Linked DNA regions of Ovis aries. The protein of the gene in region 2 purifies or fractionates together with the protein of the main gene of each other region. This does not show direct contact. Links are inferred from orthologs where the notes say so. Each region holds a gene or a part of one and is shown on either strand. Other genes may lie near its edges.

Region 1 (3,036 bases), on a different chromosome or scaffold from region 2:
CAGTATTTTAACTCCCATATATTGGTGAAATGGCAAGTTTAACTGTTAATGCCTCCCTTTGCAAGACCACTGGTGCCCGGAGGAGTAGAACCTTCTCCTACTTAACTCTGTATTTGCAGACCCTAGCTCAGGACTGACAAAAATAAATTTTTGCTGTGTTGAAAACCCCACTCTTTCACTAGCCGTGATTTTACATAAATTGTTTATTAAGACTGAAAGACAGCCATCCCTCTGTATCCTCGGGTTCTCCATCCACAGATTCACCCAACCGTGAACTGAAGATATATATATTTTTTAATTCCAATTATAAAAGACGAAACTTGAATTTACCATGCACCAGTAAACTATTCACATCGCATTGGATATTATAAGCAATCTAGAGATTATATAGAGTATACAGTGCAAATACTATGCCATTTCATATAACGGACTTGAGCATCCACGGATTTTGGTATACATGGGTTGGGGACGGGAGTCGGGGGAGTCCCGGAACCAATCCTACCAACCCTTCACCACCTATACGGACGGTGGACTGTACCTCTCTCCCCATCTGCAGCAGCACTGTGTCAGCTGTCCGGTTACCTTCACTTTGGGCAGCTGGCGGGGAAAGAGGCTATTCAACTCCACTACAAACCCTTAAAAGGCTGGATAAAGGAACTTAGAAAAGATGCAGACACGCAGGCGACCAACAGTAGAGAGGTGTCGGGGCGATGAGCATCAAAGCAAGAATTTTAGACGTCAGGCTGGGTGAGGGGGCCTCAAGCCCATAGAAGAGAATCCTCGACATTGAGGGGTTCCCATCCCAGCGGATCCACACTGGAGAACCGCGGGTCCGGACGCGAAATGTCCGCGCCAGCCCAGTTCCGCAACACTTGGTCTCCGCCCTCCCGCCTTTGTCAGGTAGCGGCTGGATGGGCGGGGAATAAAGGAAGGAGGCCTAAGGGAGGAGCGAACGTGGCGTGGGAGGAACGAGTCGTGGGGCGCGTGACGTCACCCCTGGTGTGTGCGTAAGGTGAACGGAAGCGGAAGCGGCTCTGTTCGCCGCCTCTCCCACCGGCCCGATGAGCTGCAGCGGCTCCGGCGCGGACCCCGAGGCGGCGCCGGCCTCCGCCGCCTCGGCCCCGGGCCCGGCGCCCGCGGTCTCGGCCCCCGCCGCGCTGCCCGCCGGCACCGCCGCGGAGAACAAGGCCAGCCCCGCGGGGACGTCAGGGGGGCCTGGGGCTGGAGCCGCGGCAGGGGGCACTGGAGCCGTGGCGGCGCGGGCCGGGGAGCCTGCCGAGCGGCGCGGGGCGGGTGAGGGCCGGGACGGGTGAGGGCGAGGGCCGCGCTTTGGGCTGGGCCCAGCGGCGGGTGAGGGCAGAGGGTAAGACACACCTAGCGGAACCCTCGAGCCTCCCACCTCCGTGTCTCAGTTTGCTGGTTTTCCTCCAGCTCCAGTGACGACCGGCGGCGCGGCGCCCCCGGAGGGGGCCATGTCTAACGGGGTTTACGTGCTGCCAAGCGCGGCCAACGGAGAGGTGAAGCCAGTGGTGTCCAGCACGCCTCTAGTGGACTTCCTGATGCAGCTGGAGGATTACACGCCTACGGTGGGCTTCCTGCCTGAACAAGGCTAATGACTCGCTGTCACGCCAACTTCTGCCACACCATCTGGATTTGCAGCATCCTCTTGTGTTTCTCTTCCTAGCTTTTGTGATTTTTCCCTTCTGCCCACCCAAACTGGGAGCTTCCTGATAGCCAGGCCTGCCCTCCATTTCCCTTACCCCGACTCTCAGCCCCGCTGTACACAGGGCTAACGCTTACAGTCGTCTAATTGATTTCTCAGATCCCTGATGCAGTGACTGGTTACTACCTGAACCGTGCTGGCTTTGAGGCCTCCGACCCACGCATGTGAGTAAACTCTGGGCAGGTTAGAGTGTTGGGTGTTTGTGTGGAGTTTATTGTCTATGCTCTTCTCATACCATTTTTTTCTCTCCAGAATTCGGCTCATCTCCCTAGCTGCCCAGAAATTCATCTCAGATATTGCCAACGATGCCCTACAGCACTGCAAAATGAAGGGCACAGCCTCTGGCAGCTCCCGAAGCAAGAGCAAGGTGTGAGGGGAGGCTCATTGATTCAGTAATTACTTCCTACAGCAGCAGAGGCTTAAATTATCCTGAAACCCCTTTGAGGGAAATTAAGCCTTAGGGGAGGTGAAAGACCTACTCAGGGTCACCTGCCTGGGATTGAAATCTGGAATTCCTGTGTTCAGCTGGTGCTCTTCCCTCTTCCCTCAGGACCGCAAGTACACTCTAACCATGGAGGACTTGACCCCTGCCCTCAGCGAGTATGGCATCAATGTGAAGAAGCCGCACTACTTCACCTGAGCCACCCAGTCTAAATGTACTTGTCTGTTCTCTTGTCCCCACACCAGCCTGTTTTCATAATAAACTTTATTGTGACAGGCAGGGCTGATCCCTCCCATGCTGGGAGACACCGTGTGGCAAGTGACAAAGCTTTGAGCCCATTCCCTTTTGGGGCCACAGTGGTAGGGATGGGGGCAGGGGATGGGCCCCATGGCTGGGGTAGTACCATGACTAGTGGCAGGGGAGGCAACCAGAGGCCTACTGCTTTGGGGAGGTGCACTCCCCTAACCGTGTCCTGACACCTCTGGAGTTCAGATAAGGACTTTCCAGCTCTACTTGTCCTGCATCTTCTCCAGGATAGGCACGATCATGTCAAACTTGGGCCGCTTAGCAGGGTCTTCATTCATGCAGATCTTCATGAGTTTACAAACGTGGGGGGAAATGCCTGGTGGGATGGTAGGCCGAAGGCCTTCCAATGCCACCTGCAAACACAAGGAAAAACAAGGTGAGTCTCAGAACTTGAGTCTCATGTCGGGAGAGACGTCTAGCCCTCAGGACAGGATTCTGTGTATTTGAATCAATGTGGCAGGAGCCCAGCCCCACTACAATTATTGTCACTACCACCACAAGTATATCCAGTTATGCTCTCACCTTCATTCCAATTTCCATGTTGGAGAGGTCAGCAAAGGGTACC
Region 2 (3,748 bases):
AGTATTAGTCTTCCTGTCCAGCACAACTGGTTCTGGAAGAGATGAAAGTGAAAGTGAAGTCACTCAGTCGTGTCTGACTCTTTGCGACCCTGTGGACTGTAGCCCACCAGGCTCCTCCATCCATGGGATTCTCCAGGCAAGAATACTGGAGTGGGTTGCCATTTCCTTCTCCAGGGGAATCTTCCTGACCCAGGGATCGAACCCAGGTCTCCCACATTGCAGGCAGACGCTTTAACCTCTGAGCCACCATATGTGACCCAAATCTGGCCAACATCAATTTCAAATCTCTTGCTAAAGCGATCTACAAAAAAAAAAAAAAAAAAAGACCTCTTTCTGTTGGCTAAAAGAGTAGCATAGAAGCCTGGAACTGATGGAGATTTTTGCCTGCCTGAGGGAGAAATCAACATGGAGGAAAGCAGAGCTGAAAAGACACAGAAAATACTGGTGACATAACCAAGGCTTCTGGATACAGCCATACCTGGAGCTGGTACACCTGGGACTCTAGTTAGAGTCAACAGATACTCCTTTTCTGCTTAGGCTAGTTAGAGTCAATAGATACTCCCTTTCTGCTTAGGCTAGTTTGGGCTACCTTTTTGTTACATGCAACTAAGAAGTTTAACTAAAAAAGAGGTAATTCATAGGGACCAAGGCTGTGAGGAAAAGCACATAGTAACTGCTATACATACAGCCTAAAACTGCTGTCTGACCCTCTCATACAAATGAAAATAGTCTATACTTAAACCACTCTAAAAATAATCACATAGGACTTAGGACAATAAAAGCTTTGTCATAAGTCAAAGAGAAGCAAGGCATCCAAGACTACATTCAGATCCCATACCCTCCATTTAGCCACATCAGTAAGAATCTACATTAGTTTTGTTAGAAAATATTTATTTATTCATTCATTTAGCTGCAGCACACAGCATCTTCGTTGCATCATGTGGGACCCATGGACTCTCTGGTTGTGGCTATGGGCTCAGTAGTTGTGGTGCTTGGGCCTAACTGCCGCACGCCACGTGGGTTCATAGCTCCCTGACTAGGGATCAAACACTGAGTCCTCTGCATTGCAAGGCAGATTCTTAACCACTGGACCACCAGGGAAGTCCCTCAATTCGGTTCCTTTTTAAAATTAAGGAGACCTGATGATTTCCACCTATCCCACCCTGCACCCCAACCCAATACCTACCAGGCTTTGGTACTGAAGCTTACATAGGTGACTCTCATTTAAGCCTACATCAATGCTACAAGCCCACCTTCTTTACAGCTGGGGAAGCTTTAGTTCAGTTGGATGAAGTTATGCTAGGTAACTCAGGAAATACAAGTAGTTGAGCTGCCACTGCAAGCCTGCAAACTATAAAATCTATACTCTTCCTTCCAAGTTTTGTCACACTTCAGCACATTCCATAGCAAAAAGAGATCAGTTCAGTTCAGTTCAGCCGCTCAGTCGTGTCCGACTCTTTGCGACCCCATGAATCGCAGCACGCCAGGCCTCCCTGTCCATCACCAACTCCCAGAGTTCACTCAGATTCACGTCCATCGAGTCAGTGATGCCATCCAGCCATCTCATCCTCTGTCGTCCCCTTCTCCTCCTGCAACTGCATCAAATACTGCTACAGGTCTGAGAACTAAACACTGAATTTGGTGACCTAGAGATGACTGGTGGCTTTGACAAGGCGCTATTTCAGTGGAAGGGTGGGGGCCCAGGCCCGACTGGAGTGGGTTCGGAGGAGAAAAAGTGCTAGTGAGTACAGACCGAAATTTTGGCTGCAAACAAGGGCAGAGAAACAAGGCGCCAAGAGAAATACGAATGAAGAATGAGGTCATTCGGTTAAGATGGGCACATTGTGAGCAAATAACAAATGCTATCAAGGTTCGGGGCCCATCCTCTGCCTTTGTCTTCTAGCACCTGGCCTGGGTACCCAGCCTCCCCGGGCCACTGCGCCAAGCTCCACATGCGGCGGCTTCCCACCCGCGCAGGGCAGGCAGGCGCACGCGCAGACGATACACCAGCCCTCCTTCCCGGCGCCCCGCCTTTCTCCGCCAAGGCGCATGCGCGCCGCCCCTCAAGAGCAGCCTCAGCGAGGCCGGGGCATGGAGACCACCGGCCCTCCACTCCCGCCATCCTGCAGGCGGGGGTGTGCGGCGGAAGGGGGTTGTCCCAGACCGCGATCCATACCTACCTACAGAGCCACGGGTGGAACAAGCACGTCGCGCTGGAAACTGCGACGGCGGGGGCAGGCGCGCGGTCCCTCGAATGCTCTTCAGAGTCTGCAGATGACAACGCCCTTTACGTTCGAAGATTCGCGGCAGGACGAGACCCACACAGCTTTTTTCCCTCTGATGAGCTTAGTCGCAGCGCGGAGGACCCCTCTACGCATGCGCCGTCATCCTCTGTGACGTGCCGCGCTGCCCTTTGGGAAATGTAGTTTTCACTTTGACACACTGCTCCCGGCTTTTCGGCCGAACCGTATTTTACCAAACCAGGGTCTTTGTGTGCCATGCCCTCCTCCAGGGGATCTTCCCCACCCAAGGATTGAACCGCGGGCACTTGGATTGGTAGGCAGATTGTTTACCACTGAACTACCTGGGAAGCCCTTCTGAGAAAGCTACAATGTGGCAAAGGAATCTGGGGCTTCCTTGTCTATCCTTCATCTAACACATCTGAAATGCTTTCCCAAAGAGCCTTGAAAAGTCACAGCAGTCTTCACTGAAGATCGCTTGAGGGCACATGGAGAGAGTTACACAGAGTGCTTTCCTTTTACTAATCCTTTTACTAATTCCTCCCTTGACAGAGTTATACTTCTGAAGGCCATGCTCTCATCTGTCTCTCCTCTTTGCTTTCTCCTGCTTAAGACCTGGCTTTTTTACATGAGGGCTTCAGGCACTTTCTGTGTAAAAAACCCTACAGTCACTCAGCTTGACCCTGTTCACACCCACTCCTCACCCATTTGAGCAAAACAGAAAGTTTTCTCTTCACCTTGGGAGGTGGGAGGTAGGAGGTGGGAGATACTGTAACCATTGTATTCACTTTTAATGGTGATTTTTCTTGACACAGACAAAAAGCCATATCTTGACCAGAAGGTGGCATAGTATGCATGGAATTGAGTAAAGGAAAGGGATGAATTAAACTGACCCTTAACATTTTCCTTTTCTCCCCTCCTTCTAAAACAGGTAACTTTGGGAGGCTATGAACTGTTGCCCACCAGGCTCCTCATACACTGTGAAAAAGTCAAATGTTGCCGGGATCTAGCATCTGGAAGTAAAAGTTCTCCAGAATCCCAGTTGAGGATATAACCTCTACGGAGAGTTTGGTACGCAACCCCACTGCTCACTCCCCTTTTTTTCAATAATTAAAATAGTTTTTACTATAGAAATAGGATTATAGACATGCTTGGGCAGCAATCCCTTGGACCCAGGCTTTCCCTGGGGTGAGAGAGTGGGAGGTAGGGACGGAGGGGAGGGTCTCCCCTTGGGTATTTAGCCCTGGGCTGGCACCCAGTGGTGAAAGGGGCAGTTCAGTTCAGTTGCTCAGTGTGTCCAACTCTTTGCAGCCCCACGGACTGCAGCACACCAGGCTTCCCTGTCCATCACCGACTCCCGGAGCTTGCTCAAACTCATGTCCATGGAGTTAGTGACGCCATCGAACCATCTCATTCTCTGTCGTCCCCTTCTCCTCCTGCCCTCAGCCTTTCCCAGCATCAGGGTCTTTTCCAGTGAGTCAATTCTTCTCATCAGGTGGCCAAAGTAT

Evidence for each region. The genes of interacting proteins can lie anywhere in the genome.
Region 1: the proteins of SGF29 (region 2) and TAF10 purify together in Homo sapiens (affinity purification with mass spectrometry; 3 studies listed by BioGRID and IntAct, with this or other methods). This does not show direct contact. The link is inferred for Ovis aries from reciprocal best matches to the Homo sapiens genes SGF29 and TAF10.

The regions. Positions count from the first base shown.
Region 1 is NC_056068.1:46,195,921-46,198,956, forward strand, and holds TAF10 (transcription initiation factor TFIID subunit 10), read left to right. Parts: upstream 1-1,036; 5' UTR 1,037-1,061; coding exon 1,062-1,293; intron 1,294-1,431; coding exon 1,432-1,586; intron 1,587-1,822; coding exon 1,823-1,887; intron 1,888-1,975; coding exon 1,976-2,090; intron 2,091-2,273; coding exon 2,274-2,363; 3' UTR 2,364-2,444; downstream 2,445-3,036. Other genes in the region: ILK (integrin-linked protein kinase), read right to left, coding at 2,675-2,824, 2,994-3,036. UniProt on the Homo sapiens protein: The TFIID basal transcription factor complex plays a major role in the initiation of RNA polymerase II (Pol II)-dependent transcription.
Region 2 is NC_056077.1:26,603,504-26,607,251, reverse strand, and holds the start of SGF29 (SAGA-associated factor 29), read right to left. Parts: upstream 2,360-3,748; 5' UTR 2,181-2,359; exon of another isoform or gene 2,043-2,180; intron 33-2,042; 5' UTR 1-32. UniProt on the Homo sapiens protein: Chromatin reader component of some histone acetyltransferase (HAT) SAGA-type complexes like the TFTC-HAT, ATAC or STAGA complexes.